3 linked regions of the Elephas maximus indicus genome follow. The protein of the gene in region 1 interacts with the protein of each later gene in a pairwise test. Links are inferred from orthologs where the notes say so. Each region holds a gene or a part of one and is shown in the gene's direction. Other genes may lie near its edges.

Region 1 (8,159 bases):
ATTTGTTATGATCCACACAGTCGAATGCCTTTGCATAGTCAATAAAACACAGGTAAACATCCTTCTGGTATTCTCTGCTTTCAGCCAGGATCCATCTGACATCAGCAATGATATCCCTGGTTCCACGTCCTCTTCTGAAAGCGGCCTGAATTTCTGGCAGTTTCCTGTCCGTATACTGCTGCAGCCGTTTTTGAATGATCTTCAGCAAAACTTTGCTTGTGTGTAATATTAATGATATTGTTCTATAATTTCCTCATTCGGTTGGATCACCTTTTTTGGGAATGGGCATAAATATGGATCTCTTCCAGTCAGTTGGTCAGGAAGCTGTCTTCCATATTTCTTGGCATAGACGAGTGAGCACCTCCAGCGCTGCATCTGTTTGTTGAGACATCTCAATTGATATTCCATCAGTTCCTGGAGCCTTGTTTTTCGCCAATGCCTTCAGAGCAGTTTGGACTTCTTCCTTCAGTACTATCGGTTCCCGATCATATGCTATCTCTTGAAATGGTTGAACATTGACTAATTCTTTTTGGTACAATGACTCTGTGTGTTCCTCCCATCTTCTTTTGATGCTTCCTGGGTCGTTTAATATTTTCCCCATAGAATCCTTCACTATTGCAACTTTAGGCTTGAATTTTTTCTTCAGTTCTTTCAGCCTGTGAATTCCAGGTGTGTTCTTCCCTTTTGGTTTTCCATTTCCAGCTCTTCGCACATGTCATTATAATACTTTACTTTGTCTTCTCGAGCTGCCCTTTGAAATCTTCAGTTCTTTTACTTCATCAATTCTTCCTTTTGCTGTTTTCCTTGCTGCCAGCATTTTTATAGTTGAGATTTTGTCAAATTTGCTGGTGTTTTAGCTATAATATTGTGGTAATTTTAGTATTTGTGAGCCTGTATCAATAACTTTTTTGACAATGAAGTACTAATTTAAAAAAAAAAGGAGTGATACATGGTCTTATGGATTGAATTGTGCTCACCCCAAATGTGTATCAATTTGGCTAGGCGGTGATTCCCAGTATTGTTCGATTGTCCACCATTTTGTCATCTGATGTGATTTTCCTGTGTGTTATAAATCCTACCTCTGTTATGTTACCCAGTGCCGTCGAGTCAGTTATGAGGTAGAATTAGTGGCAGTTATGTTAATGAGGCAGAACTCAGTCTACAAGATGAGGCTGTGTCTTAAACCAATCTCTTTAGAGATATAAAAGAGAGAAGGGAGCAGAGAGACATGGGGACCTCATACCACCAAGAAACAAGAGCCAGGAGAATAGCGTGTCCTCTCAACCCGGCGTCTCTGCACTGAGAAGCTCCTTGACTGGGGAAGATTCATGACAAGGACCTTCCCCCAGAGCCAACAGAGAGAGAAAGCCTTCCCCTGGCACCCTGATTTTGAACTTCTAACCTCCTAAACTGTGAGAATAAATTTCTCTTTGTTAAAGCCATCCACTTGTGGTATTTCTGTTATAGCTGCACCAGATAACAAAGACGTAGGGGAATTACAATTTACAAGTAACATTAGTATAAAAAACATTACCAAGGATTCTGTATGGTCTGGTCCATGTGGGGGGTGGGGTGATATCAACCCTAGTGACACCACTGCTCTATGTGGACCTTAAAGGAATTCCTTATGTCCAGTAGCTTCAGGATCGATACGGCTGAGGTGTTTGGCAGAGAATAAGGGGAACGTGAAATGAATGGTAGCAGAAGGAAGCTTTGGTTATCATCTTGGACCTCATTAACAGGTACAGCAATAGAGAATGTTGCAGCTATATTTTCTGTTTATAATTTTCAATAACAAAACACTCTTGATAACTAATGCTTCAATTTTTACTCCAAGTAGTAATGTGACTTAATTGACATCATCCACAAAAATGTGGTAAAGGATGAGACTGCATTTTTGCTGTGTTGGGAACACCAGATTTTTTCACCAGAAAAAAAAAAAAAAGTGGATGTCCAGGTGCAAAAGAGGTGGACTGTTTTTTTTCCAGTTGCCCCTCCAAATACATTCTCCTGCATGGTATATTGCAAAATTGTATCAATCTTCCCCTCCTATAGAGAGTGAGATGTGCTTTCCCACCCAAGGCCCCAGCTCTCCTCAGGTGGCTCATCACTCTCACTAGACTGATTGTACTAACAACTTCCTTACATCAGCTCTTCAGCCCAAGGGATGGTGCTGTCCACTAGCTGGTTCCTCTGTCTTTTTGTGGCTTGACAGAGCATTTCTTTTTATTGCTGAATTTGTTCCCCTGTTTTTTTATGGATGTATCACAGTTTGTTTATCCATTCACCTACTAAAGGACATCTTGGTTGCTTCCAATTTTTGGCAATTATGAATAAAGCCGCTACAACATTCATGTTCAGGTTTTAATATGGACATACGTTTTCATCTCACTTGGGTAAATACCTAGGAGTGTGATTACTGAATTGAATGGTAAGCCTATGTTTAGCTTTATAAGATACTACCAGACTGTCTTCCAAAGTGGCTGTACCATTTTACATTCCCACTAGCAATGAGATACCTTGTTGGTTGCTTTACCACTATCTGTACTTTTGTACGGAGCCCTGGTGGTGCAGTGGTTAAGAGTTTGGCTGCTAACCAAAAGGTCAGCAGTTCGAATCCACCAGCCGCTCCTTGAAAACCCTATGGGCAGTTCCACTCTGTCCTATAGGGTCCCTATGAGTTGGAATCGACTCAATAGCAATGAGTTTAGTACGTTTGTAAAAAATCTTCATTATTGTGTGCTGTCAATTGAAGCCTTTGAATTATGGCGTTGGCAAAGAATATTGACTATACCATGGAATGCCAGAAGAACGAACAAACCTGGAGTGGGAGAAGTACAACTAGAGTGCTCATTAGAAGCAAGGATGGTGAGACTTTGTCTCATATCCTTTGGACATGTTATCAGGAGGCACCACTCCCTGAGAAGGACATCATGCTTGGTAAAATAGAGGGTCAGTGCAAAAGTGGAAGACCTTCAACGAGATGGGCTGACACAGTTATTGCAACAATGGACTCAAACATAGCGATGACTGAGAGGATGCTGCAGGACCGGGCACTGTTTTCTGTAGTACATAGCGTTGTTATGAATCGGAATCAACTCGATGGCACCTACCAACAACAATCTTTATGGGAGCAGATCATCATGCCTTTTCTCCCATGGAGTGGCTGGTGGGTTAGAACCAAGGACCTTTCAGTTAGCAGCCAAGCACTTAAGCTTCGTGCCACCACGGCTCCAAAATAATCATTAAATGCCTCTAATTATCCTTTTAAGTGTGACATTTGATAGCCTAACCCAGTGTTAATGTGCTGCTGGGCAGCCATTTATACCAGGAGGGCATAGAAAGCATTTCTAGGAGGAAGTGACTGTGTCAATTCTGCTGTAGCTCAAGAAAGATGAGTACTGGCAATTGACCACTAACAACATGGAGATCACTGAACACCTTGACAAGGGTCAAGGGGCTGGGGGCAAAAGCCTGGCTGGAATGGGCTTCAGAGAGAATGTAGGAAGAGAAATTGGAGTCAGAGTATATATATATATATATTTTTTTTTTTTTTTTTCAGAGTATATTTTGAGCCATTTAGCTGTGAAGTGATGGAGAGAAATAGAAGAGCAGTCTCAGGCTCCTTCTCTTGGGAACACCTTCTATCTTGTCCATTTATTTAAGTGGCCCACCCACTTTCCAAAGCCGGCTGAAGTATGTCAGCCCCCATTCCTCTCTCCTTTAGCTTGGCTCCTACAGCTCTTTTTTTTGGGGGGGGGGGTTAAATATTAATACTCCTCCACCCAGACACAGCAGCCTCAAAGTAAATGGAGTGCTTGAGATGATGTCTTTCTGAATCGCCATCTGTTTTGTTCTCAGCCCACTAAGCACCACAGTTCTCCCTTCTCCAAGAAGGATCACACGCCTGCTGGTGGTGGTTCTAGCCACATGTGAGGACCCTCCGCTGCTGTCTTTCGCTTTGGGCTCCTGCCCAAGTGGGAGAATTTTCCCCGTAATGACTGGCACTTCTGACCACCTCCGGCTGGCTTGCTGTTCCTGCGACTCAGCGATTCCTCAATGGGAGCAGTCCCCTCTGGAGGCCTTTGGGCCCCTCAGCCCTGCAGTCCTGCTGACCCCCACCGCCCCTGCCGCCAGGTTCCCGGCTGACAGGACTCCCCGTGTGGGCCACCCCTCGTCACTCCATCGTGTTTCCTGTCCGCCCTCCAGGTCAGGGCCGGTTCGCCCTCAGGGCCGGGCCACCCTCAGGACCGGTTCACCCTCCGGGTCAGGGCCGGTTCGCCCTCCGGGTCAGGGCCGGTTCGCCCTCAGGGCCGGGCCACCCTCAGGAAGGGTTCACTCTCCGGGTCAGGGCCGGTTCGCCCTCAGGGCCGGGCCACCCTCAGGACCGGTTCACCCTCCGGGTCAGGGCCGGTTCGCCCTCAGGGCCGGGCCACCCTCAGGACCGATTCACCCTCCGGGTCAGGGCCGGTTCGCCCTCAGGGCCGGTCCACAGGGGTCGCCTCGAGGGGTACGCTGCCGCTCGGCGGCTCTTGGCGCCTGCAGGGCCACGCGGGACGACGGCAGGCCCCTCGGCTGTTCAGTCCTGTCAGCAGACGGGAGAGGCCCCGCCCGGGTAGGGTCAGGCGGAGCGGGTCCTTTGCCCGCCGCGGGAGAGCCTGTGAGACGCCACTGGCGCGGGTGGCGCGCCCAGGCTTGGGCATGCGCGCACGGCCGCGACGGGAGCCATTTCGCGGAGCCGGCCGGCCGGAGGAGACGGCGACTGCGCAGGCGCCCGCCGAGGCCCGGCCCACGCGGAGCTGGGAGCGCGGGTCGGACAGGCGGCCGGAAGGGGCGAGGCGGGCGCGGCGCCTGCGCAGTGGGGGCGCGGCCGGGCGCGTGCGCGGTGCGGCGGCGGCGGCGGGGGCGGGCCGCCGTCAGCTGACTGGGGCTGCGGTCTCGCGGTGACAACCGTCGGCTTCGCAGGCTCCGGCGGGGGCGGCAGGGTCGCCGGCGGGTCCGCTCTGGGGTCGGCGAGGCGCGGAGCCGCCCGCAGCGCCATGGCGACCACCGTCAGCACGCAGCGCGGCCCGGTGAGGTCTCCCGGCGGGGGCGGCGGGGCGCGGGCCCCTCTCCTCAGCGGCGACGGGCGCTCCTCAGGCGCCCCTTCCCCCGCGCAGAGCGGCGGCCTCCGGTTGGCGGCCCCCCCCAAGAGCTCCGTTTCCTCCGTTGCAGATGGGAGGGTGGGAACCGAGCGCCGCGAAGGGGCGCCCTGCTCCTGAGGGGGGGCGTCTTCCCCGCCGCGGTGTTGGTGACGTCGCTGGAGGGCTGGCGCCGACCGACCGACCGACCGACCGACCGGGACGCCCTGGGGGTGAATGGCCGGCGGCGGCCGCCTCCCGCCGGGTTAGGCCGGTCCTCTGAGGCCCGGGTTGTGACGGCCACGCTGGCGAGCGCTGACGAGACAGCGGAGCAGAACTGCCGTGGGGGTCGCGTTTGGTCCTTGTAGGTCGTGGTTGTGCCGCTTCACTCGGAAGGTCCAGGGCTGGGCGGGGGCCGAGGAGCTTCGCGGGAGCCGGGGTTGTCCGGGCGCCCACCCTTGAAGCTGGACATTGGTTAAAGAACCCTTTTCGTGTAGCGTTTTTTCCCAGTTGGGAAGGAAGACGCAGGCGTGTTAGAAGCCCGTCTTGGGGCACAGGGCCTTTTTAAAGTGGGAAAGTAAGCTGCCTGGCGGACATCGTACCGAACCGGGCGTGGGGCGGTTCCAGAGGCAGCAGGGGCATCTGTGGCTTGCTTCTGATTGTCAGTGTTGCCATCTCTTTGTCTTCAGCCAGGACAGGGAATTCCAGGGGGATGGCCGGTTGCAGTTTTCTCATTTTTCGTAACTGCCTGGTAGAGAAGCAAGGGAACCATGACTTTTAAATTAAGGCTCCCATCTTTGTGTCCTCGAGAGCTGTGTGTGTAATGGTTGAGCAGGGCTTCTGGGGCTGCTCGGCCAGTTCCTTGCCCTGTCACTTTCTTGCTTGTCTCATACACCTGGGACGTGTTCTCAGCCTCCCGGGGACTCATTTCCCTTGTCTGGAGCAGTAGGACCTACCTCACGTGGTGGGGTGAGGGCTGACTCATTGTACCTGTTTACACTCCCGGGAACTTATCTCCCTTGTTTGGAACCTTACTGACCTCAGTCCCAAGGCCCCTTGCCACCGTCACCAGCCCGTCTTCCACCCAGGTTCTCGGGCTGACAGCACTTCTGGTCAGTCCTTAGAGCTCCTCTCATGGGTGTGGAGCTGGCCCCCTTCCCGCTGGGCTGAGCTTAAACAGGCACAATGCCTAGCTCAGTGCCTGGCATAAATTGAGCTGTTCCTGTCGCCGAGGTGATTGGAAACAGTCATTAAGCTCTGTGACTACATGAAACTGAGATAAGCTACGTTCTGTAATGAGTAATTGGGGGCTTCAGAGAAGATTCAGGTATGTAGGACATGTGACATCAAGGTAGTGACGCTTTTGTCTGATGTCTTTCCACAGTGCTTCTGGGGCTAGTGTCTGTGTGTAACACGGTTGTGTAGATTGATGTCCGTACACTGGTGCACAGGCTGGTGTCTTTGTGTGGCACAGTCCTGTAGATTGATGTCTGTACGTTGGTGCACAGGCTGGTGTCTGTGTGTGACAGTCGTGTAGATTGATGTCTGTACGTTGGTGCACAGGCTGGCGTCTGTGTGTGACACAGTCGTGTAGATTGATGTCCGTGTGTTGGTGCACAGGCTGGCGTCTGTGTGTGACACAGTCCTGTAGATTGATGTCCGTGCGTTGGCTCACAGGCTGGTGTCTGTGTGTGACACAGTCATGTAGATTGATGTCTGTGTGTTGGTGCACAGGCTGGTGTCTGTGTGTGACACAGTCATGTAGATTGATGTCTGTACGTTGGTGCACAGGCTGGTGTCTGTGTGTGATGCAGTCATGTAGATTGATGTCCGTGTGCTGGTGCACAGGCTGGTGTCTGTGTGTGACGCAGTCATGTAGATTGATGTCCGTGTGCTGGCGCACAGGCTGGTGTCTGCGTGTGACACAGTCCTGTAGATTGATGTCCGTGAGTTGGCGCACAGGCTGGTGTCTGTGTGTGACACAGTCCTGTAGATTGATGTCCGTGCGTTGGCGCACAGCCTGGTGTCTGTGTGTGACGCAGTCATGTAGATTGATATCTGTGTGTTGGTGCACAGGCTGGTGTCTGTGTGTGACACAGTCCTGTAGATTGATGTCCGTGTGCTGGTGCACAGGCTGGTGTCTGTGTGTGACGCAGTCATGTAGACTGATGTCTGTGTGTTGGTGCACAGGCTGGTGTCTGTGTTTGACGCAGTCATGTAGACTGATGTCCGTGCGTTGGCGCACAGGCTGGTTTCTGTGTGTGACGCAGTCATGTAGATTGATGTCCGTGTGTTGGTGCACAGGCTGGTGTCTGTGTGTGATGCAGTCATGTAGATTGATGTCCATGTGTTGGTGCACAGGCTGGTGTCTGTGTGATGCAGTCATATAGATTGATGTTGGTACACAGGCTGGTGTCTGTGTGTGACACAGTCCTGTAGATTGATGTCCATGTGTTGGCGCACAGGCTGTTGTCTTTGTGTGACACAGTCATGTAGATTGATGTCTGTACGTTGGTGCACAGGCTGGTGTCTGTGTGACGCAGTCATGTAGATTGATGTCTGTACGTTGGCGCACAGGCTGGTGTCTGTGTGACGCAGTCATGTAGATTGATGTCTGTACGTTGGTGCACAGGCTGGTGTCTGTGTATGGCACAGTTCTGTAGATTGATGTCCGTGAGTTGGCGCACAGGCTGGTGTCTGCGTGTGACACAGTCCTGTAGATTGATGTCCGTGTGTTGGTGCACAGGCTGGTGTCTGTGTGTGACACAGTTGCGTGGGTTGATGGTCATCCGTTGGTGCACAGCGCATGTAGATGTCCAGCTATCGTAGAAGAGCCCTCCTTGACCTGTGAACAGACGGTAATGTTAGGTCTGTGTTAGGGCCATTGTAGGGCCGTGTAAGGCATCCTCAAAACGAGTCTTGTAGCACCACTGGAAAAGGTATCCCTTACTCATTCAGCCAGTGTTGTTGATCGCGATGTTCAGGGCACTGGGCCCTCAGCTAGGCAGCTAGGATGCAGTGAACAAACAACCAAACATA
Region 2 (7,526 bases), on another chromosome or scaffold:
ACATGGGGGCAGCCACAGGCACTCCAAGGCCTGCCCCCTCCCCCGCCCAGCTCCTGCACCTGCCTGGATGCCAGGCCTCAGTTCACCACTTGGTCCCACAGCCCCAAGGACTGGTGTCTACACTGGCCTCCTTTGCCTCCACACCTTAGCTCTCCTCAGGCCTCGGCCCTGCCTCAGGCCTTGGGCTGTCTGTGTCCATCCTTGCTCAGGCTTCTGGGCACTATGTTCTGACTGTGTTCCTTACCAGACTGAAGCCCCCTGCTCTGAGCATCTAACCCCATAGATCCCTCTAAGAAGGGTGGACATGGGGCTGTGGGCTGAGTGCACCTGTAAGAGTGAACTGCTTGCCCTGGGAGGAACTGGGAAGCTGTGGGGTGGCCTAGCACATGGAAGTAGAGAAAGCAGGGGGAATGAGGCAGATGAGCAAGGAGAAGAGAAACAGATTGTCCAGAAAGAGAGAGACAAAAGGCCGGACAGATGCTACCTTCTTCCTGCTGGCATACCAGGTCCTTGGGAGGCCTGGCGGTGAGCTGGCTCTTGGTGGTTCCAAGAGAGTTTCCTGATTGTTTACACTGAGTCCTCTTTTCCTTAAGCTGATGGCACAGTGGTTAAGAGCTCAGCTGTTAACCAAAAGGTCAGAAGTTCCAATCCACCAGCCGCTCCCTGGAAACTCTATAGGGCAGTTCTATTCTGTTCTATAGGGTCACTATGAGTGAATCAACTTGACAGCAATGGTTTTGTTTGTTTTTCTTAAGCTAACTCAAGTAGTTTTCTGTTGCTAATGGTCCAAAGGTCTTTGGCTGAGATGAAGCTGCCAAAGAAGTGGGGATCTGTGAGTTCGGTTAGTCACACTGCAGGCTGATCTCCAACTGCTATTCCTGGCTGGATAGAGTCCCAGCCCTGGAAACATGGGGATGCTTCGGCCTCTTTCTCATTACCCCCTACCCCCTTGGCAAGGACATCTGGAAGGGCTGGGCCCTCCGTGAAGGCACATTCTCCAGCAGTCTGCTGGAAACTCCCTGGGTGGCCTCTTGAACCCTATGGAAACTCCATCCTCCCCCTGTACTTTCCACCATGGCTTCCCAGCTTTTCACCTCCCTGCTGGCTTTACCTTCTACTTTGCCTCTGGGGCCCCCCAAACCTCTTGTTCTGTTGGTCTTTGACCTGGAGTCCCCTGCCCTCTGCTCTCTCCACTGAGCCTGCCAGAGAGACTCCTGACGTTGGAAGGTGGTGTCCACCACAAACCCAGAGTGGGCCCGGCAAACCTGCCACCTGATCCTGGAGGCATCTACTGCCTGGCTGCCCTCCTGCCTCCCCACATCCACTTGTATGCAGCTCATGCAATGATGTGCTCTCCATTCACAGGTAGTCCATGATCAAATGTCCCTGTGCCTTTTATCCTTCTGCATCCTTCCCTTCTGCCCTGGGAGGAGACATACCTGCCCCCTCAACCTGGGTCTTCCATTCTCCAAAACTTTGATCCCTTTCTTCCCACTTTCTCCAAGCTCTCAACACTGGCTCCTCCTCCTTAGAGGTGTTTCTAGTCCTTGGCTTCTCTCCATTTCTCCACTTTTCTGAAGCAGTTTTCCCATAACTTCCCACCAACTTGCCTTTGCTGTGTTAGACAGATGTCATCCTCAAAGTGTTTGTGCTTTTTCAAAGAAAGGTGCTCTACTTTGGGAAATGGTTTTTAATCCTGATTTCAAAAATTTGACTGACTTCTCATCACTCTCTCTTTATCAAGGCCCGGAACATGTGATATGCCAAGCTTGCTTTCAGTCAAGCCTAGCTATTGCTATGCAGTGTGGTATAGTTGTTATGTCCTTATTTGTTAAGCACACCAAGGCAGAGTTTGAATCCTGTCCGTGCAATCTTTGGCAACTCACTTCACCTGTCTAAACCTTCAATTTCCCATCTGTTCCTGCCTCTTATGTTTGCTTATGAGGATTAAAAGAAGCAATGCATGCCAAGTTGCTGGCTGGGAATGGACTCAATACGTGGCCATTCATTTAGCTCACATGTGTTTACTGAGTACCTACTATGTGCCATAAATGACATGGACAGATCTTCTTACCTCTGTTTCACACATGAATCAAATAATCGTAGAAAGATTTACTTATAATTATGACAAGTTTGTCAGAATAGGAAGTAGGGGAGCATACGTTAGGGACACCTGGCCTGGCCAGAGGAGACAGGGCTGAGATTGGAAAGGCAGGAAGGAAGAGGGAACTGCATGGTGGGAGCCCTGAGGTGGGAGAGAACAAGACCTGTTCCACTTTGGCTGGAGTGATGTTAAGTTGAAAAGGCTGCAGGAGTTTTATTACTATCCTACAACCCCTGGGAAGCTCCTAGGGTTTCATAAGTGCAGTGACATGGTCAGATTTTAAGTTTAAGAAGCTCACTCTGGCTGCAGTACTGAGAGTGGCAAGAGTAGTAAGCTGAGAGATGATGTGAATGTGAGAGATCTCTATGAACTTAATTTATATGAAAGAGTAATCATCTCCAGTTTCCAGATAAAAAGGCTGGACCTGGTTAGAAAGGTTAAGTAACTTGCCAAGTTTACACACCTACTATATGGCAGAGGCAGGAGACTATGACTCCAGAGACCATTTTCTTAATCTCTACTCAACCGTACCTGGGGCACTGTGGTCTATCATTGTCACAGTGACATTGATTTCTCACCTGTTCTTGGGTCAGCGCAAAGATGCAAACACAGTAAGATAAAGGCCTCACTACACTTACCAATCTCAGTACTGCAGCCAGAGTGATTTGCAGTAATTTATAGTAATTTACTACCCAACCTGGTTTGCCTTTTAGTTTGCCTGCTGATAGAGTTGTTGGTGAAGACCAGACGTAGTAAGTAGGAAAAGCAGTGAAGGACTTTACACCACTGTCAATGGAGTAGCCTCCTCACAGAGATACAGATCCAGAATTATCTTGGGAAACAACAACCTGGGATCAATTGGATATAAAATATATAACCCCTATTGGCCATGACTTGGAAACCCTGGTGGCATAGCGGTTAAGAGCTATAGCTGCTAACCAAAAGGTCGGCAGTTCAAATCCACCAGGCGCTCCTTGGAAACTCTATGAGGCAGTTCTACTCTGTCCTATAGGGTCGCTATGAATCAGAATCGACTAGACAGCAATGGGTTTGGTTTGGTTTTGGTTTATTGGCCATGACTTAATAGGAAGAAAATCAACCATTTTACTGAGTGCTAAGTGCACATGCATTATTTAATTACATGCCAGCTCTGGGGGCCATTAGAGAAGGGAATCCGAATGTCTCTATTCCCCAGACAGGGAAACTGTGACTCTGGTAGAGGAAGGAACTGGTCCAAAGTCTTACAATGAGCTACTGAGAGAGATAAACATGGAACCCAGGTATCTATATTCCTAATAAAAGCCCATTAATAATACAGCACTGGAATGAAGAATAAAAATATGAAACAGTTTGGTGAGAGTTAAGGCGTCTGGAGGAAGTTATCAGTGGACTGGATACCTCTCTTTCTGTGAAAGAGATACGGCTAAGGGGCGGGGAGGATGTAACAATTCCTCCCTTAAAAATCCCTTCTGCTCATGCCTAAGGAGATGCTTCTTTAGCAATTTCTTACTCATCCGAAGGCCTGAAAAGCACGGGATCTGTGTGCTAATTCAGAGAAAAAGGTCACAGAAAAGAGTCATAAAGGGGGCGCAGTCTGGCCCCTTCGAGGTTTCTCGGAGTTGCAGTTGCCCGCTCTCACCTTTCCAGGTACCGACTACGGGGCTGTCTCCACTCAGCAGACTCACCGCCCGGTTGCTAGGGGAACCAAGCGCAGCCACTCGGTTGCTATGGGAAGTCAAAAGGTAGACATCCTGGGTGAAAGTTGACGGGTCACTTGACCCAATTTCTAGGCGGGGAAATATTCCTCACACCAACCAAGCGCAGACAAAACAAACGTCTCTCCAATCAGCACGCTCTATGGGCGGGGATTTTCCTAGCTTCACCTCCTCTCCGCCCCCTAGATGGATGATTGACTCATATTTTATCCAATAATATAAGGACTTTCTAGATTGACCAACATCTAGATGAATCAAAATGGAAAACCTAACGTTCGGAGGCGGGCAAAGGGGGATGCCGCTACGCCCGACGGGGACTCCTGGCTCTTCGGCCCAATCGCTAGCCGCGGGGTAGGTGGGGCTTCGCTGAGGACGTAAGGCCAGTCAGAGGAGGGCTGCGCAGGCGTTGCCCAATAGGGAAGCGACAAGGGGGTGGGGTTGAGGGCCCGGGGCTCGACGTTCCTGAGGGTGGGGCGGGGGCAAGTGTCAGTCAGGTCCGGAGCAACACTGGGGGACAGCGGAGACCGCGGCAGCAGACACGGCCTTAGCCGGCTCCCCACCCAAGATGGAGTTCCTCCTGGGGAACCCGTTCAGTACCCCGGTGGGGCAGTGTCTCGGTAAGGCCGCGCGTGGGGGCGGGAGCGGCGGCGGCGGCGGACTGGAGCTGGCGAGGGCCGCGGCCCCTGCCGGGCGCCCGTGCCACCTCACGGTGAACCTGGCATTCTGGTCGGCGGGCGGAGCATCCTGGTCGGCTGGCCTTTGCCCGGCACCGGTGCATGCTGCTAGGCAGCGCCCCTGAGAACCGGCTCGGTCTCAGGATGCTCCGCGCGTTCCTACCCGTCAGGGCCCAGCCCTTCCTGGCTCTTCTAGAGCGGCTGCCAACTGCTTGTCTGCTCACTGCCTCCCCCATTAGGAGGTGCCACTGTGAGCATCCGATCCAGCCAACAGTCTCGCCGCCACTGCCCCTAGGACCCAGTTTTCCCAGCCCCTGTGGGATGTCACCGCGGTAGCACCCCGCCCCCGCGTCTCTCTCCATCCTTGTCCCCTGTTCCAGTTCCAGCAGCCCTCAGAGTGGGCACTCTGCCCTAAGACTTTCTAATTTGAGCTGCTACTCAGCAAGGCTGTAGAGGTTTGGAATGGGGATTCGTAGGGTGTGCTTGTCCTGGCAGGCGTGGCGTGCCTGCAGAGTCTCCCGGGAAAGAGGGAGCCTGTGTCATTTAATGATAAGAGCCCTGGTCTGGGAGTCAGGAAGCCTGGACTCCAGTACTGGCTTTGCCAGTGACTTTACAGATGACCTTGTGCAGTCACCACCGTTTCTGGTTTAAGTTTCCCTGTCTGTCAAATGAGGTGTTTGGAGGTGAAATGTGCTAGGTCCTTCCAGGTTCTAAAGTTTTGATATTCCTTGTGGTAATCTCTGCACATTGCAATTGCTCCCTGCTATATTAAATTTGCTAATGCTGAAATCTTTTGGTGGCATGGGGGGTTCTTGTTAATCCTGTAGTGGAGCTGTGGGCATCTGGAAAGGAGCACCAGAGGCGACTAGTATCCTGGATAAGGAAAGCCCAAGGAGTAGGTGAAAGAGCACTGAAGTGGCTACCATGTGGGATTTCCCTACTAAAAGAACAACTTGCCTTTCATCAAGACAGGACCTTATGTTAAGTGATCAGTAAAGAATGTTGCTTAGTATCTTTTCAAACTGGGTGCCTCCTGGTTGGTGGAAGGACCGGTAAAACGTCTTTTATGAGCAGGGACCTTTGTTGTCCGTATGGGTCTGACTGGTTTAGGCAGTAGTGATTTATTTCCTGTTTTGCTTATGAATTTCCAGCTTTTAGTGGGATCTGTGAAATTTTAGAGGCCTCTCCTGTTGGTTAACTGGCATTTGGGAACCTCACTTTCCTTTCTGGTGAAGTGTCTTTTAAAAGGATGATGGACATTGGGCCCTGGAAGAGACTTTTCCCAACTTTATGACACTTTACCTCTTGGTCCCACTGAGTGCCTCTCACCCACCTTTCTTCTTCCTCATTGCCTTTTCCACTTTCCTCAGGGGCTCTTTCATTCAACTGTATTCTACAAACTCACTGTGCAGATGGGTGTTGAATTCCAGCCAGCTCATGGAGGGAGCAAGTAAATAAGGAATTTTTTTTTAATTTTTTGTCTCCTTTATAATAGGAAGTTACACACTTTTGAAATGTCATGGTAGTTAATGAAGGATATAAGGTAAAGGAGATTTTAAAATATAGCAATATAATGGGTGTAGGATAAAAAGGAAGTGGAAAGCATGGATGCTTCTGTCAGGAAGACCTGAGTTTAATTTTGATCCTGCCCATTTATTGGCTGTGTGATTCAAGAAAAGTTTTTAACCCTTCTAGCCTTAGATTGCTTAATTGTTGAGAGAAAGAGAAAAAGAGAGCAATAAAGAGAGTGGGAGACTAAAACTCACAGAGTAATGAGGATTAAGTGAGATAATGTATTGAAACACTTAGCATAGTACCTGGAACACAATAGAGGCTCAATAAATTAGTTGTCGCTGTTAATAAGAGAATGATTAAGTCAGGGTTGACTGTTCTTATGTAGATGGGATATGGAAAAACTACTGGCCAATCTGTTATCTGTGAAGGAAAGTACCCATCTAGGCTCCAGAGTCTACCATCCCTTCTAAGAGACATTTGACCATAAAGAGAGTGAAGGTTCCTCAGTGACACAGGGGCCTGAGAGACCTGGGTCCTGGGGGTCAGCAGTGGAGAGACTGCTGGCTGGATAAGTGTGCTCACAGTGGCACCTCAGTGGGGGAGAGGGTGAGCAGACAGGCAGTGGGCACCAGCTCTTCACTCTGTCCTCTAACCAGTTATCTCAACTGAGAAAACTCAGTTCAGTTCAGATAAATGGTTAGAGGACAGAGTGACATTCTAATGTATATTCAGTCTATACTGTTGTGACAAAGATGTAAATGTGATTTTCATGACACCTTAGTATTAAAAGTATGTGCCAGGGAGGCAGCATCACTCATTAAAGACTGCATGTGATGGTAATTTTTGTTTTTTTTGTGATGGTAATATCAACTAAGTGGGTGTTAAGTATGCCCCTTTGCCACCTCAGGAGCTCTGGTGGTGCGGTGGTTAAAGTGCTTGGCTGCGAATGGAAGGATTGGCTGTTTGAACCCACAAGCCGCTCTGTAGGAAAAAGACGTGACAATCTGCTTCCATAAAGATTACAGCCTTGGAAACCCTATGGGGCAGTTCTGCTCTGTCCTACAGGGTCACTATGAGTTGGAATTGACTTGACAGCAGCAGGTTTATATGTCACCTACTGGTGGTGCAGTAGTTAAGAATTACAGCTGGTAACCAAAAGGTCAGCAGTTCGAGTCTACCAGCTACTTCTTGGAAACCTATGGTGCAGTTCTATCCTGTCATATAAGGTCACTATGAGTCAGAATCAACTCGACCGGGTGGTGCAAATGGGTAATATGCTTGTCTATTAACTGAAAGGTTGGAGGTTCAAATCTACCCAGAGGTGCCTCGGAAGAAAGGCCTGGTGAGTTGCTTCTGAAAGATCACAGGTGTTGACAACCCTGTGGAGCACAGCTCTACTCTGACACTTGTGGGGTTGCCATGAGTAGGACTCAACTGGATGACAATTTTGTTGTTGTTGTTGTTTTATATGCCACCTGTGGGGGGGGAGGGGAACACAGAAATAAAAGAACAACAAAG
Region 3 (7,411 bases), on another chromosome or scaffold:
GTTAAATAAAACTAAACAGGTTTCTTCACTGCAAGGCTTCTCAAAGCCTTAATTACACTAATGAGCTGTGATTTTCCAAGGAAGTGCTATATTCCAAAAAAACCTATTGCTGTCCAGGCAGTTCTAACTCATAGCGATCCTATAGGACGGAGTAGAACTGCCCTACAGAATTCCCAAGGATTGGCTGGTGAATTCGAACTGCCGAACTTTCCAGCCGAGTTCTTAACCACTAGACCACCAGGGCTCTAAGAAAGCGCTGTGATGTGTAGCATTTCACAAACATATAATGGAAAATTTTTCAGCAGTATTTTTCTGAGGAATGCTCTCTAGAATACAGACTTGATTTTTTTTCCTATTCTTTTTGTGTACAGAAACCTTGGTTATACAGTAAAATTGTCCATTGTATTTAACAGGAGAAAGTTGTAACTATCAAAAATGACCTCTAGGTCCTTTGTTATAATTTCCTCCACTGTTGAAATTGCTCTAAAGATTTCCCCAAAACTGTAGATAAAACTTCAAATAAACATTTAAATATATCCTCAAAAACAAGTGTGTGCTTCAGTTTCTGTAGTAATGGGGTAGTAAAAATTTTAAACTTGCGACGGCACTGGGTTCTGGGTTAAGTTCTCTTTGTTTTCAATCTTTTACTTTCTGCTTGTAAATTGATAGATATTCATTGGGAAATTGTGTTGGCTTAAAATATCTAAACTGAGAGATTTTCCCCTCCCCCCCAAAAAAATCATAGTGGAAAATTTAAGTTTCAAATGCTTAGCAGTGGCAGGTGGCTTGTACCTGTTATCCTGCAGGGAAGAATAATTTATATTTCTTAGTCTTCCTCTAGAAAAATACTCCTTTACTAATCTTACAGAATATGTAGAATCGCATACATTTTTACCTTAATAATGTGAACTTATCCTTGCATTTAAGAATCTACTGGAATTGGAGAGTCAGCACTAAATTAAAAGATGTTATAAGATTGTTTTCCTCCTTATACAGAGGAAGATAGTGATTTCCAAGGTGTAAAATTATCTGATAATCTAAGATTATATACTTATTTATATTATATACTTAGTACTTTGTGCTTTGGAAAGCCTACTGGATTAAGAATCAGAAGACCTGAATTCTATCCACAATTCTGATACTTTTTTGACAGTGGAAACAATTGTAATTTTGATGGTGGCAGAAACCTTGTCTGTTTTACTAGTGTTAAGTTCTCAATGCTTAGCAAGGATATGAACTGTAAGCAAAAGCTATTTGCTCCCTTAATTAATTAATTAACTAACCCTTCTGTACCTCATTTTTCTCACTGAAAAGTGGGGGTGTTATATGTATCCTGCCTACATTAGTGGGTAACCAGGGATTCCGGGAAAAATTATAGCTCATATGCCAGAAAACTATTATTATAAGCGGTCAGTAGGGCTGAGATTTAGGACTCAGATTTAGTTATCTGGATCCACAGGAGGTTAATCTACTTCAGACTGGTCCTTAGTAAGCCTCTTGGCTGATTTTTCAGGTTGAAGTAAAAAAAAAAAAGTGGAAATAATATTTTGAAAGGGTTGATTTAGAAGTCATTGTTGTTTAATTTTTACCATTTATGTTATTGTGACAGAGCAAACATATGGGTATTTTCAATGGTACGTGATCCAACAGTTACTCATACTTGGCATTTAAATGTTTTTGTACTTTTATTTTGAATAAATGGGTACCGGGTATTCTGATAATTGATCTAAAAGAAAAGTCATAGCGATATTATCTGGTTCCGGATTTCCTCATCTTGTGTCCCTGCACCTTAATACATATAGGCTGACCTTGCTCTAGATTTATACCACCTTTCCTGAATGAAGACATTTACTTAACAAAACTCAGTGGCATACCTACTGGGTGAATGACACGGGAATAGAAAACTGAGTAAGTTCAACACAGGTGAATGGGGGAAACAAGTATATTTGGCACAACGTGATAAGAATTAAAGGGCAGCTTCCTGTGACTTCCTTTCCTACCCAGAGATAACTTGCCCTCCACTCGGAGTTGGAAGCTATCAACCATGAAGGTCATTTCTTCTGGTATAGACAACTATTTTCCACTTCAGCGTGTACACCTGGAGGGCTTCAACTGTTATTCTCTAGAATACGCAAGTAATGAAAAAAAAAGAAAACAATGACTGAAATCTTCCAACTACCATCAGATTTGAGGAAGGTAGCTAGATGCAACTATTCATCACCAGGATAATTTTTAAGTTGACACTCTTTTGGCTCTTTAATATAGTTCCTGACTTTTTCAGTGCTTGGCCCTAACACCTTTCTGGCTCAGCTGTGAGGTTAGCTACCTAAGAAGCTGAAAATGCAGTAGGAAATCTCAGGAGACTGAGAATTTATGGTGAAGAAAAGTTAACAGTATTCAGACTAGACCAAGGTCATTAGTCACAAATAACTAAATGTATAAAATCAGGCAATATAGACATCTATCTAGTTTAGCCAGTCAGCCAGTCTACTGGATTTTCCAGGCAATAAATGGTTACATTAACCATCCAGCTTTTCTTAAAATGCCATCAACATCAAGGGTCGTTTAACTGTTATGGACAAACTAAAAACACAGCTTTCATAAATCTCAGGGAAAACTCCCTTCTAAGATATAAAATCCAAGTTCCTCTTCTTTTGTAAGAAAAAGATCTATTTATTTTAAATGATATTTATCTTGTGTTGTTTGACTAGATGAATGACAAATAATATAGTCATTTTAACATTAATGATCATGAAGCTACTAAGAAATGTCTAATCCCATGAAGGAAAGCAAATTCACCTAGTTTTGCCCTTCTGAACAGCATGACAAGACCAATATTAGTTTTTTAAGATTAAAATAGCCAAAAGAATTATTCCACAATGAAATGAATTGGTAACATTATCACAACCCTTGTGATCCATTAGAGTGGGGTCAATATTAACAACAACGAACAAGAGGGGAAAAAAAATCCCTTTATGACAGTAATTTAAATAATGACAATTTAAAGACAGTAATAATTCATTGTAATTTAAATGCTAAAATTATATTTAGCAAAAGGGAATTTTTGAAATAGAAAACATTTACTCATCACTAAAAATTGTACAGCATCCTTCTTTATATTTATTATTCATTCACAGTTGGCATGCTTACGTGCAGATACACATTTCCTAGACATAGAAATCTAGTAATTCTTTTTAGGATTTCATTCTATAGGTAGAGGGAGATCCACTAATGTTTTCAGGGTCAAATCTAAATGAAATTAGCTAGTATTTACTCAACCCAATGTTGAAGAATTAAAGAACCTTTACTGTTCCCTAACTAGATTTTGAAATTTTGTCTTTTAGATCTACACCTTATGTTGAGTAATTCTGTATTTTACTCTTGAAATAAAAATAGTCACCCTTTATCCTTCAATTTAATAAAGGTCTTAAAAGTTACTATGTTAAGGTATTCATTTTAAGAATTTAAAAGATGGAGTAGAACAAAATCACTCCAGAAGGGTTAGTCATCACCAAGGCAGAGGTGAGGAATGATCACAACAAAACATTTCTCAGGGGATAATTTAATAACATTACTAAAAGTGTGGGTATCCATATACCGCCTAAATGATTAGGAAAGGGGTTATTAGCTAAGTCACTGTCTGAAACCCACTGAATCACTAGTCCCTTTGAAAAAATGATTGGTCCTTTTTTTCTGAAGATGGGTTTTAAAAAGTAAGCTAAGCTGAAAGATAAAAAGAACCCAGATCTTGCACAGTTCTAGATATCTCTTCATAGGCCAAGAAGTAAGGTAAGAGATCAGATTTTGCTTCCATAGTTTTAAGAACCAAAATCAATGAACTCTGCAAGATAGACTATTAAGGTCACCCTAAATTTTAAACATTCATTTAGGTCAGTGATTTGAACTGGGGCAGGAATTTTCATATCTAGAAGGCAAGCAATAAAATATTTGGGCAGTTTACACTATAAATAAATATAACAATTTAAAGTTTTAATCTATTTCTCTAAATTAGAAAAATGTTAATTCAGTATTAGACTTCTAAGATTATTTGGTATTGGACTGGTGTTGTCAGATCTTTATTGTAGTACTTTTTAAATATAGACATTAAGTTTCTTTCATATTAAGGATCCAGTTGGTTGACCCCCATCTTGAGCCTCCCATTGCCTGAATGACCCACTCCATCAGTGTAGAGCAGCACCAGGAATGAGTTGATCTTATTCACTAACCTATTCAACTGTACAGTATGTCTCTAAATGAGTCATTTGGTTAAGCTGAAAAGACAGGCAAACAACTTGGTTTTTAGTAAACAGCTGTTCTGGAAAAAACAATAAGTTCTGTTTTAGAGATTAAAAATATGTCTTTTTCATTTTAAATTCTAAATTAAATTTAAATTAACTTAAATTCTAAAATATAAGTAAATTAGTCCTCTGAACAGTATCAACTAATTTTATTACTATAGAGATTTTTTTAGTAGAGAGTCTTTTTAAAGCTAATTATCACATTAACTTATTTTCTAGGTATTTCATCTGAAAATGAAAGTAATAATTCTCCTTGGGCTCCTTGGAGCCACACTGGCAGCCCCAGTAAGTGATTTCATGCTACAACTGATCTTATGCTATAAAACCTATAACAAACCCATCTTTTACCACTTCTGGTTTTATTTTTAGCTTGTCCCACAGCGCCTTGTGTCAGCAAGCAACAGCAATGAGGTTAGTTGAAATACTTAAAACAATCTCTACTTTTTTTTTGGGTTTTTTTTGGAAACCTGGTGGGGAAGAGATAAAGAGCCTTCACTTGATTTATCTTCGATTCCTATCTACCAGCTTTTATGCATATCCAAACACATTTTCAATTTTCATGCTTGCTTTGTATAAAGGTCATTTCTACAATTTTAGTTTTGCCTTCCTCCTCTGATTGTACATTCTTTATAGAAGAAACAAGAGCTTTTATATCTTTTCATTCTAGCAGCAGCTAGTACAAGTGTAGTATATAGGTGTTTAAGAGCGTAAAATGACTGACTAAAGCCCTGGAGTGGGCTAACGTCATATAGTCTCAAACGTAGCAGGGGAGAGGTTGTTAAATGCCAGGCCTGTTTTCAACTCTAACCTCTAATCACTGTAATTTTATGTCAGCTTAATGAGAAAATGTCTCACTTGTAACAAGAAACCGATCGACCAGTTATGACTTGCGCTGTATTTGTGGTAAACATAGTTCTTAACAGTGTTAGCATGTGTCATAATCTTATTTTCGTATCATCTTTCCCTTTCTAGCTACTTCTGAATCTTAATAATGCTCGGCTTTTGCCACTACAGTTTCAGGTACCTTTATCTCAGTAATTATTTTAAGGGGTATCTTTTTCTACTCTTCATTTCGTGTGAGGATTTATATGAGAAGAAAATGTTCTCTGATTCCATTTTGAAATCTTGATTATTAAAGTTATGAATTTATCCCACATATTCTTATGACTGAAGAGTAAAGTGAGAAATTAGAATCTGATTAACATTTCTTTATTGAGGACTTTGTATATGCCAGGCAGTAATTCTCACAACAATCCTGTGAGATAATTCAATGAACTGTTTTACCTAAAGTCATGCCCAGCTGCCCAGTGCGGGGGGGGGGGGAAACAAGTTTTGAAACCAGTCTGGAAACTGCAGAATCTGTGTTCTTTTATCCACTCATTCTACCCTCTATTTCTCACAAGCATTGGGAATTTAGCTGTGCCTCTTGTTATTTTTTTTTTTCTTGTTATTTGCATGGCTCAAAATCTATCAATTTGCTTTTCTTTTTTTATAATGTAGCATAATTTTTTTTTTTTTTTTTTTTAGCATAACTAGAAATATAGAAACTGCTTACATTGTGACTCTTTGTTGCTCGGGATGGTTTTTAAGTTCTTTTTGACATGAAAGAAAACACTTTCTTTCCTTTGTGTCCTTCCAGGGCCCATTTAATTCATTGACTCCTCCTTTCTCTGGGATCCTGCAACATCGACAGCAGGCTCAAGCTCCTGGACTGTCCCAGGTCTCTTTGCCAACCCTAGATCAATTTGTTGGACTGTTCCCAAATCAGGTACCTTTCCCAGGACAAGCCAATTTTGCCCAAGGACCTCAGTGGGCCCAGCTAGACCCCTCACAGGCTCAAATACCACTGCAGACCCAACAGGGCCCTAATCGCGTAAGTTGGGACTTTTCTATCTTTTTGTTCTGAAGTGAGATAGAGATACATTGACTGTTAAAGTGAGTACAAACATGAAGTAAGAAAGGAGTTTTCGAAAAAGACTTTTTTCTCATAATATGTTGTCAAGTCAATTCGGACTCATAGTAATCCTACAGGACAGAGTAAAACTGCCCTATAGGGTTTCCAAGGCTGTAATCTTTACAGAAGCAGACAGCCACATCTTTCTCCTTTGGAGTCACAGAGTACACTTAACCATGGCCTCCCGGGTTTGAACCGCTGACTTCACCGTGAACTTAACCACTGTCCCACAAGTACTTCCTTATCTTTTTTATTCCTAACATGAAAAATACTGTTCATGCTAGCTATTCTTGGATCACAAACCACAAATCAGAAGTGTTTATGTTTTGGAGAAGAACATTCAGGATATTTCATCTAAGCTGCAAAAGCAATTTGCATCAACAATGGTACATATAGTGTACGACCTTTCATTGTCGTCAAGTCTGGTAATACAGATGATAAATTTCTATGGATAGGTCTATGAAAAGAAACCCATAAATTCTGATGGTCAAGTATGACTTTTTTATGATTCCTTTCTTGGCAGGTGATGCCTTATGTGGTCTCCTTCAAATTGCCCCAAGAGCAGGCACAGGTAAATGAATAGTATGCCACTGGAGAGATGGTTCTGAATGTTTTATTTTATATTTCAGCCCTGATTCCTATTACAAGACTATAAAAGCCATATAATGATATCACTATCTGGGTACCATCATTGCTGGGCTAGCATTAGTTAGTCACTAGTAACAGTTCCTGAATTGAGCGCATCTAGGGAGTCCCCAGGGCTCTTGGGCTTCCAAGGCATTGCTATGTTGGAAATAGAGGAGCTCACTAAGCCCTATGTCATGCCTTCTCTGCACCAAAAGTGTTGGCATTTGGAAACAACTCAAGAGTATTAGTCCATGGGCTGTTTGCTCAACCCTAAATTTTGTTTTAGAGGTAGATGGATTAAACTGGCATTGTACAATATTTAGACATGAGAGCATTTGCCCGTATTTTCTGGCTGTTATGAAATTCAGGTTAAAACTTTTCTAGGTTCTTGTATATTATCAATTAAATTCTGCATTTTACTATCAAATGGTAGTGATTTCCATTAGAGAATCTAAGAAAAATTAATGCAAGCTAGTAGAATCACTATATTAGTATAAAAAATCTTCAAGCATTTGGTAGTCAATTTTATAAT

What was found.
Region 2: the proteins of TOLLIP (region 1) and TOM1L2 interact in binary tests that used the Homo sapiens proteins (3 or more experiments, as listed by UniProt). The link is inferred for Elephas maximus indicus from reciprocal best matches to the Homo sapiens genes TOLLIP and TOM1L2.
Region 3: the proteins of TOLLIP (region 1) and ODAM interact in a two-hybrid assay, tested with the Homo sapiens proteins (2 studies listed by BioGRID and IntAct). The two-hybrid records come from large-scale screens. The link is inferred for Elephas maximus indicus from reciprocal best matches to the Homo sapiens genes TOLLIP and ODAM.

What each region holds. Positions count from the first base shown.
Region 1 is NC_064825.1:136,634,640-136,642,798, forward strand, and holds the start of TOLLIP (toll-interacting protein), read left to right. Parts: upstream 1-4,901; 5' UTR 4,902-5,039; coding exon 5,040-5,072; intron 5,073-8,159. UniProt on the Homo sapiens protein: Component of the signaling pathway of IL-1 and Toll-like receptors. Inhibits cell activation by microbial products. Recruits IRAK1 to the IL-1 receptor complex. Inhibits IRAK1 phosphorylation and kinase activity.
Region 2 is NC_064820.1:214,375,939-214,383,464, forward strand, and holds the start of TOM1L2 (TOM1-like protein 2), read left to right. Parts: upstream 1-4,294; 5' UTR 4,295-4,384; coding exon 4,385-4,436; intron 4,437-7,526. UniProt on the Homo sapiens protein: Acts as a MYO6/Myosin VI adapter protein that targets myosin VI to endocytic structures. May also play a role in recruiting clathrin to endosomes. May regulate growth factor-induced mitogenic signaling.
Region 3 is NC_064823.1:87,838,104-87,845,514, reverse strand, and holds the start of ODAM (odontogenic ameloblast-associated protein), read left to right. Parts: upstream 1-4,179; 5' UTR 4,180-4,241; intron 4,242-4,517; 5' UTR 4,518-4,532; coding exon 4,533-4,583; intron 4,584-4,667; coding exon 4,668-4,709; intron 4,710-5,270; coding exon 5,271-5,318; intron 5,319-5,937; coding exon 5,938-6,171; intron 6,172-6,775; coding exon 6,776-6,823; intron 6,824-7,411. UniProt on the Homo sapiens protein: Tooth-associated epithelia protein that probably plays a role in odontogenesis, the complex process that results in the initiation and generation of the tooth. May be incorporated in the enamel matrix at the end of mineralization process.